Linked DNA regions of Neodiprion lecontei. The protein of the gene in region 1 interacts with the protein of each later gene in a biochemical or structural test. Links are inferred from orthologs where the notes say so. Each region holds a gene or a part of one and is shown in the gene's direction. Other genes may lie near its edges.

The links.
Region 2: the proteins of plexin-A4 (region 1) and semaphorin-1A form a complex in vitro, tested with the Drosophila melanogaster proteins (2 studies listed by BioGRID). The link is inferred for Neodiprion lecontei from reciprocal best matches to the Drosophila melanogaster genes PlexA and Sema1a.

What each region holds. Positions count from the first base shown.
Region 1 is NC_060264.1:32,243,457-32,248,498, forward strand, and holds the start of plexin-A4, read left to right. Parts: upstream 1-2,001; 5' UTR 2,002-2,927; exon of another isoform or gene 2,928-4,406; intron 4,407-5,042. Other genes in the region: putative GTP-binding protein 6, read left to right, coding at 1-479, 564-750, 824-1,056.
Region 2 is NC_060266.1:25,992,496-25,997,593, forward strand, and holds the start of semaphorin-1A, read left to right. Parts: upstream 1-1,865; 5' UTR 1,866-2,040; intron 2,041-5,098. UniProt on the Drosophila melanogaster protein: Involved in growth cone guidance through its role in axonal repulsion. Function in neurons is essential for adult survival, motor neuron survival, and is important for climbing behavior and activity.

The sequences.
Region 1 (5,042 bases):
AGATATTTAGGGCTCACGCCAAAAGTCAAGAGGCAAAACTGCAGGTTGCAATAGCAGAGATTCCCTACATGTGGATGAAGTTGAATGTCGTTAAAGAGACCCGAGAAGAACACGTGGGTACGTTTGAATCACATCGAAAGCTTCTTCAGGTCCGCGAAACCAAGCTTAAAAATGCCCTCCTTAAACTTAAGGCACAGAGACATTTGCTGAGGAGTAAACGATTACAAAATAAGATTCCCACTATCGCTGTTGTCGGCTACACAAACGCTGGGAAAACTTCCTTGATCAAAGCTCTCACTGGAGATTCAAGCCTGCACCCTAGGAATTACCTCTTTGCAACTCTCGATGTCACCATCCATCAAGGCACTCTACCCTCAAGACTGAAAGTATTGTTCGTCGATACTATTGGCTTCATTCAAGATGTGCCTGCCACTCTTATTGAGCCGTTTGTAGCAACTTTAGAAGACGCCATGAATGCTGTAATTGGCTTTTGATTACGCTCATTCTATTCTTTTGTCTTCAGTCAGTCATGCTCTTTTGACCGATGAATGTTTTATTACCAGGACATTATCTTGAATGTGCATGATGCAAGTCATCCGGACAGGCAGGCCCAGATGGACCACATGCAAGCAACATTAAAAGGCTTGATTAAAGACCAGGTGGTGATAAATGTTGCAAATAAAATTGACCGAATATCAGAAGATATACCTCGACTGAATATGCTTGGTGTGTCAGCCACTAAGCTAATAGGTAAGTTGTTTCCAAAGTTTCAGAAATCAGAGTTGTACAGAGTTGTATTGAACATTGCCTTTGGAATCCTCAGGTATAGACGGTTTACGGGATGAACTCGATAAGTCGATACTAGGGGCAACAGGACGTACCATAGTCCGTATTAGAGTGCAATCTGGAAGTAGAGCATCAGCTTGGCTCTACAAAGAAACCACAGTGACCAACGTAGAAGCTGATCCGGAAAACGCCCAATACTTGTTTATGGATGTGATTACTACTGAGTTACAGCTTAAAATGTTTCGAGTATTTCTAAAAAAATATGAATAAAGAAGAGACCGCGGCTAAATTTCTATAACTGGAATCAGAATAGGTTCTGTCATAGGTTTAATAAATATGGATTCTCAACGAAATTTTTCTAGCTCAAAGTATTTTGGAAGTATTCTTTTTTACTTCAAAAACTTAGAAAGTGGCGGTACTTCTTTACCGACAGAGCAACGAAATGCCCTATAAGGTACCGTGGCAAAGAACCGCGAATAACGCCAAAGATCAGTGTTATCAATACGGCTAGTACAGACTTCCGAGTCAATCAGAGTGACGTCAACAAGATGGATAGTAGCTGCGCAAAGTATCCGACTACTAGCGCCCTCTGAGTAATCTTGCTCAACGGAGGAATTTACTAATATACCGGGTGACTCTGAATTCTTAAAGCAAATGCGACCTCCCACACCTCACCAATCTTCGAAGTCGTACCGAAGAACGATCAAGCTTCATGGCTGGAGGTAATGTCATACGCGAAACAAAATATGGTTTCTGATTTTAGTTCATCAGGGCTCCGAGATCATATTGAAAATTGTAAATAACTCATGGACACCAACATCGGTCTGGAACGATGAGTCTCGTTTCCGGAGCGCTTGCAAAGATGTTTGCGGAGATCGATTTGCATTGCGAAACTTGACGCAAGAGCAAGATCGTTCAATTATAATATAAATAAATCATCGACTAGCGTGATTGTCAAATTTTTTAAAATTTTTCCTGCGAAGCACAGAGCTGCTGCTCGAGGACACCTGGTATATACCGGGCATCGAGCATATTGTACGAAATGGATAGTAGCAATTTCCGGGTCGCCGCGCTGACGTTATGGAAACGGTTAGTAGTTACCGACGGAGCGAACCCCGAAGCATCCCCCGCATGACGGGGTGGGACCGGTTTTCTTGTTTTAGGTAGTAGGAGCGGCCGGGTCGTCGGGAGAGTGGACGGTGTTTTCTCAGACGGATAGTACGCAAAGGTGGGAGTAGCGGCAGTAGCTGTAGGGGACTGGGGAGCGAAACGAGTCGCGCAAGTGCGTCCGTCCGCGTCGGTACCGAAAAATTAGTAGCGAGAGAAAATCCGGGTGAAAGGTAACCTGGACAGTAGAACGTAACGGAAAGAATCGTATCCAGAGGAACGCGAAGTTGGTCGGAAGTATAGGAGAAGTCAAAACTGACGGTGACAATTTTCTGGCGGATAAGTGTAAAACAGATAAAAGCGAGCGGATGATATCCGCGCGAAAGAAAGATATAAAACAAAAGAAGGAAAGGAACAAGGCACGCACAGTGGAGGGATATCGACGACACAAGGCGGCAGCGACGTGAACAAATCGCACCTCAACAGAAGAGGTTTCATCCATCTCCAATATCTCTGTCTATATATATTGTGTATGTACGTTACCTGTATGTATATATAGGTATATATTTACGCGAGAGGATCGACCAACTGTCACATTGGTCGCCATTTTATTAATCTGGTAGCGCCGACCACCGCTCTTCGTGCTGCTGCTGCTGTTGATGCAGCGTGTGTCTTCTCCACTTATGCTTCCATCCTGATGTCGAATAGGAGAAGACAGCAGCAGGGCGCGACCGAAAAACTGGCCGACGGTGGTGTGCGGTGAAAACAATAAATAAACCCGTGTATCCTCCGCGAGGAGGAGAACCAACCAACCAACCAGCCAGCCAGCCAGCCAGTCGGGGTGTTAAGGTGGTGCTGCGCATACCGCTGACAACGACGACTACGGACAATGAGGAGAATATAACCAACAGTAGTTGATGAATAAAGACGGCGAGTCGTGTTGCGCCCGTGGCGTCGTTGAGTAGAGAAAAGTAGAGAACAGAAGATCGAGGAGGAGACGGCACAGTGCACATAGGCTTCGAGTGTTTTCTTTTGTGAGTGTGATATTATTCTACGTGTTTGTTACGTGTGGTATGTGTGTGTTTTGTGCATACGCGTTTGTTGTTTCGCCTTCTACGTATAAATTATACACTACTTGTGCGTGTACTTGTACAGTACCTGCATGTATGCACACCTCTCGCTCTCTCGACCTGGATTAGTAACTGATCTCCCGTAGTAGTAAGGATAAGGAACCGGAGGCGGCGAAGCCTTGAGTCAGTGAGCACGTTGGTGAACGTGAGCAGTGAGTCGACCGTCATTCTCGTCTAGCGTGACTACTAACCTACCACCCCCCTCGCCGTTAGAGAGTGTATTTCTCACGACGGTTCTTTTAGTTCATGGTTCTCGCTTTTGCCATAGAGGATACGACACATACGGAGACACAACACGCGCGCGCATGCTGTAGGACAAAAGATGATCTGCAACTAGTGTTCCTTGATCTTGTAAACAAGTGAAGTGAGGAGGTAAACAAAAGACAAACCGCCACCGCGCGCAGTTCGAATAACCGTGAGAAGTGATAACATGCGATAGGGAGATATTTGACTCGTCCGTTATCTATCCTCCTCCTAATCGCGGCTGTGGTCATAAGACCGGTGTAAAACGACGAGGTGCTTAATCGTCGAGGAATTCTCAACGAAGCGAGGAAAAAAATTTAAGACGAGATAGAGGGAGGGGGATTTTTTTTGGGTTCACGCCTGGGGGATCGGGGGCGGCCACCACCGCCATGCCTTGCGATAGTTTAGACAACAATCAGCATCCGTGCAGGAACAACGTCGGGGGTTTCGATAACATTATTTCGCAGGCCAGCGGAGAACGGTGTACAAGGTGGTACGAGATGAGATACGAATTGCTCTGTGCCTGATCTAGAACGTAGGAGAAATCCGTATCGTTAACGCCGCCGTTGCGTCGAGGTGACAGGGAGGAAGTAGGTATTTAATAGATGAGAAGAAAGTGAAGAGGAGAAAAGTAAAAGGAGATTACAAAGAAACCCGAACAATTTAAATACTTAAAGGTAGTAGTTAGATAGGACAATGTGAAAAAGAATTTTGGGAGAGTACAGCAAGTATATTATATAATTAAAATTGAAAATTGACAAGAAAATATATAAAAAAATAAATAAATAATAAAAATGAAGAGGTGTATAAAGTACTACGCTGTAATAGTTACCTAGATAGACGAAAGGGGAAACAAATGTGAACGCAACAACGAGGAATTTCTATATCTACTTAAAGAGAAGATTTAGAAGGTAAAATAAAATAAAATAACGAACCAACGGAACGCGCGAATGACTAATAATTATAATAGTAATAGTGATTATACGCCGTAACGATGCAACAAATTATTGGCGTGAAAACGCGATTTGTTTTTGTAGTGGAAAACTGGAAGATCGAATTTGTTAATCGACAAACCGAAAGAGATAACGAAAAGGAAGCAGCATAGAACCACGAAGATAGGAAGGAAAAGTTTCAATTTCGGTGTGTTTAATCATTATTCTTTCTGTGTGTGTTGTTATCGTTGTTACTCCTACTATTGCTAGATTAATAATGCTAGTATCGATGTCTTTGCTTTTATCGTTGCGATTGCGATCGTCAGTGCGGTGAGTATAATCATCATAATCATCGTAATCATCGCTCGTTTTCTTTTTCTTTTTCTAAAGTTCAAAAGAGAAGAAAATTAAGGAGAAAACACGCAACCGCAGCAATGAGAATTGCGACAAATTGAGTAGATAGCAGAAATTCACGCATCGGATATCGAACCACGTGTTTCCTTATGTGTTTTAAGAACTTACGTACTTACACACACTATTGCTCAACCAACCAACGATGCATGCCTGCAGGATATATAAACTGTGAATGCCGCGCCGATTAATCACTGTACGTATACATCGCGTCATTGTTGTATGTTTCTTTTATTTTCTTTTACTTCACGGCGTCCTTGTCGCTTGTTGATGTGCGAAACTAGTACCTATTTATACATACATTTACGTACATCGTACAAGTATCGATGAAACAATTATACGTGCACCGAAGTCTGAACAGGATTAATTCTCCTGGTGGAAAGAAGAGGGAGAAACTGGCGTCTACTGGTACGTCGTACGAAATTCACCTCCC
Region 2 (5,098 bases), on another chromosome or scaffold:
TGGGAGTAAAAAAAAAAAGAAAACGTTTATCAATTTTCAGAGTATACATATTATTTTTAAGAATTTGTGAAAAAAGGTCCAAGTGCCTTTAATATAATTATTCAATCAATCGATCAATCAATGGTCAACCCTGAGAAAATTAGCAACGGTTGAACGAAAAAAAAATATGTAGCCCGGACGCTTAAGATTGGCTGTTGAGCGCGTTCGTTCTCGCGTTGAGTATTTCGGGTGAGCTTTGATATATAAAATTATATTTTCTGCCTACGGAAAAGGTAAAAAGAATAAAAAAGCATTTCTGCTGAACACAATCTTTATCAAGTCATATATGAATTATAATCGTCGACGGCGAGACCCGTGAAAGATATCAACCGCGTAAACCTGTACGATATTATTCATTCGGTGCAACGAACGCTGATTCGTTCTGAACGTTTTATTTTTATTTTTATCCCTCTTTTGCATCTGAATGGCAATAGTTGGAATTGGCGCACTTTTTGCGACACGTGAGAAAAAACAGAAACGGCGATCAAAATACCATCGAATTATTGTACATATGTATATGTATGCAATGAAACGAGCGTTCGGCGTTGTATGGTACACATACCCATACTTCTAATTGAAATTATTATTATAATAATAACTATTATTGTACGATTAGTTAGGACTAGAGTTTTTTTTTTTTTTTTTTTTTTTACAGAGCACCTTCTTAAAGACGCAAGAAAAAGCAAAAAAATAAATAAAATAATATATATATATATATATATATATGTGTATATATATGTATATATATAAATAACTAATCGATTATACATGTATACATAATACAATATTATGTAGGTAAATTATTATGTTACTATTTACTGTTATTAAAATAATATGGTGACGTTTTAAGTATAGAAAACACGCGAATTGGAGCATAATTAACTTGCTATACCATAACCGACTTTAAGTTTAGATATATGTATACATATGGTATATGTATATACATACTATAAATATCGTTCTTGTATAATATTGTACGAAGGAATGAAGCATACTTGAATAAACTTTACTGAGAAGAGAAGAACGGTGTACAATGGGTACGTATCTCGCTGATTATCCACAATGTTGTTAAACGCGAGAGGATACACACTTGGTACAATTATCTAAAATCGTCCAAATTTTCTTGTTACAGATTTGAATATTGGCGCCCTGCGGCAAAGCTAGTTCACTACTTCCCGGCAAGATGGCGGCACGTTCGGTGTGCACGAAGCGCCGAGGGTATAGCGGCGATGCGCAGAATCAACTTTTAAGGGCTTTCGCCCTACGTCCGTTAGATAGCGCGGGCCCCGAGGCACATCCGCAGAATCAAAAAAGACAGCTGGGAAATGTAACATCACGCATCGATTTGGTCGGCAGCCCTTCTCGCGTCGTCTGAAAAGTTCCTCCGTTCCGTCTATCTCCTCGACCGTGGTATTTATTTTGTAATTAAATAGTGAACGATAAGCAACGGAGGAGTGGGAATTTCGAATCGTGAATAGTGAGAAGGTGATTCCAGTATCGTTGTTACTAACTCGGGGTGAAAATATAAGTGGTGCGTAAAGGTGGTCAGAGACCCGGGGGCTAAAGCGATATATTCGTTTATTGGTCATGCCGTTCCTCTCGTGACAGCAGCGGCAGCCCCTCACCCCCTACCGACCCACCACGGTTCGTCGACCATTCCGGCGACCCCCGTCCCCTCCTCGCCCTGCCTCCCTTTTCTTGCCTCTCCGCCACCCCCTCCCCGCCTGACCCCCTTGTCTTCGTCGTCGTTGGGTCGCGGTTTTCTTCCCAACCCCCGGTTTACTACGACACGATGTGATTCACGTCTTGGAATTTTTCGTCGAAGAGAACAGAAGGTCTTCGTCATTCGTGCACGGCGCTGCACGCTGTGAATAAGGGAGAGTGAGAGAAAGAGAGAGGGAGGAGCGAGAGAAAGAACGGAAGAAAGAAAAGAACGACGGAAAGAGTGGCTCGCCCTTGGATGTTTTTGTTAGGACCCTTGGATATCTCTGCTGCATTGCGGTAAGTCTGGATACTGTTTCCCTTTTTCAAACCTCCGCCTACATCTATATGTGTACCCATGCCGCTATGTCGTCTCTCCTCCCTTCTCCTCCTTTCTCCTCCTTTCTCTCGCTTTCGTCTACTCCGCGTCTGGTTATCTTATTCAAACGCGATACTCTTTCTTCCCCCTCCCCTCCCCGCCCCTCTCCTCTTTCCCTCATGTTATCGCCGTAGGTCTCTCCGTGAAAATCGAATGATACGTATGCAAGTAGTCGCGGTATCGGGGTCGTGGTCGTCTGCATGTTGAAACGGGCGAATCGCGAGTCGCGACAGAGAGAACGAAACATTGACCCGAGGAACGGGGAGCATCGATGCGATGCAATGCGATGTCGTTAGAGCCGCGAATCTATGCGGGTCACATTCTGACCGCGCTTAACGCACCGCGACGTCGTTATGCAGGCGGTGGTACTTAATTTTTTCTTTGTGCCTATGCGCGTGAGGAGAGGAAGCGGGAGACGTGTAGAGGGAGATGTAGAGATGGGGAGAGGAAAGGATCATCGTCGCCGAGAGGAAGCGAGAGATAGATAATAAACGGCGGAGCATGAAGAGAACTGAGAATACTGAGATCCTCCGGTCTTCCGGCAACCTACCTACCTCATGCCTTGTACCTTGTACCTTCTATGTAGCCTTTGTTGGCACGTATAGTCTCTTTCTCGTCGTATATGTACAATTTTTCTCTCCGTGAAATACCCGCATCGATTTTGCCAAGAGACCGCGAGAGATAGAGCAAAAAAGAAAGAGAGAGAGACAGAGAGAGAGAGAGAGAGAGAGAGAGAAAGAAGCATTTATTCGCCCTGGGACAAGTCCCCTCAGGCGGTATGTAGAAAATACGTATGAACATAAAATGAAAATAAAATCAATATGTAACAAAATTAAAACTAAAGTTGGAAAAGGATGTAACAAAAGAAGGGAGAGAGAGAGAGAGAGAGAGAAGAGAGAGTGCTGCAGGCGCCTGGAGGGCTGAGAATTAATGCAGTTACGTAAACTCGTGCATTATACCTACTACGTACATGCATAATACGTATATGTACGCGATCTTGTTACGACGGGTACAAATGACAAATTTGTTTAACGCGCGGGGATAAGTCCGTACGTGTCGTGGAGAGGCGAATAATGAGCGAGCGTTCGATGAACTCGGCGTGAGTTAAGTACAAAGATTCGCAAGATTCACGTGATTCGCAACGAGGAGGACGACGAGTCGATTCGCTCCTCCTCGACCAGCTGCGCCAGTTTCTGCTTCTCCTCCCTCTCGCTCCAGCATATCGAATATAGGTGTCTACTACGCATGCAGGCAGGCTCTCCTTCTCCTCTCGCGTTCTTCGTTGCTGCGGTATATGTGTGTGTGTATATATATGTATAGTAGTGTATATGTATATAGTATATATGCACGCATGTAACGTAACGCGAATTCACCATGGCACGCGCACACTCGGCGAAGAGACGATGTTGAGTTTTACCCCGAGAGGTTAATCGCGTTTATTATCCTCTTGACAGTAAGAAACTGTTGACTACCGATGCATGTTGCCGTCACTATGTCGCCGGTGTCTATATGTATGTATGCACGTACGGTATCGCGGTGATACGATTAATTACTTTGCGCGTGACTCTTACCCTCGGCAGTCGTCGTCGTCGTTGTGGCACCGGGACGACGACGACAGTTCGTTTCGTATTACCGCAAGTAGAGTAGAAACCTCGCTTATCCAACCTTCGATTACAGCCGATGTTCCGCATTGACCGGTGCATATCTTGTTTGGATAATACGGAGAACATTGGATAAAATGGAATAATTCGTTATGTCTATGTCGTACACCTATGTGTACCAAATAGTTTTGTGGCTCTACTTTGTTTGAACACGCGTGAGCTTGCAAAAGTTTTGTTGCGAGTTTATACAAACGCGACAGCTCCGATTCTGGAATCAAGGGTAGAACATCGTGATTGCTTGGATTGTACGTACGTTTTCCGTATTATTCGAGTTATCATCTCCCCGTATTACCCTCGGACAAACGAGGTCCTACTGTAGAACGAAGTGCAGCGTTATGCATCGGACTGCTCGTGTATTGTGCGAATCGCGTGTCTAGCAATAAGCGTAAAATAGCTTGAGACCGAATCCGTATCATGTTGGAGTTAGTTGGCAACGTTATCGTCACGATTCATCCTGCAATGAGGAGAAATTGTTAGTTTGCGATTTGCGCATTGTTTGAAATTCAGTAAAACATAATAAAACAAAACATATTCGTGTTTTCTGATCTCACTCTCTTCAAGATCGTTGTAAAAATAAGAAAATAGTGATGTTTTTCCCGATGTTTCGTTACGATAACGTTGCTAACTTGAACCTCGTGAATCCGCGGTGTGACCCCGTCCCGGAAATGTGAAGAAAGTTGGTTCGCGTTAGGGTAGTTCATTTTATAACTTTTTTTTTTAAGCTGCACTTCGAAAAATTTTTGACAAATACTGACCAAAAAAGTTGTCGTAAAACCTGGAGGAGGTAGAAAAATATTCTGTGTCGCTACCAATTATTGTTATATTTTTTTTATTATTACGTGTACACCCCACGGACTTACATACATATATATATATATATATATATATATATATATATATATATATATATATATATACGAAAACGACCACTATTGTGGTCCAATTATTCATTGTTCATAAATGCCAGTACCGAAATCGAAACAGGGACATTAAGGCGATGCGATACTACTATTTCGGTAGCAAAAACTGACATCCAAATGTCTCCGATTAATAATCTGTCCGATAAAGGACGAGAACAGCCAACCGCGGAATCGTCAGGCACACCTTGCTGTTGATTGGTGAACGATTAATTGGATCACGGTACAAATAAACAAATAATAATCTAATGTCCATATAAGCCCATAAGGTGTACCCATAAAAATAGATGAAAAATATTACAATAATTGGTAGTGATTTCTAAATATTTTCCTACCTTCGTCAGGTTTTATGATTATATTGTTTTATGATAATTTTTTGTTTCAGTATTTATCACATACTT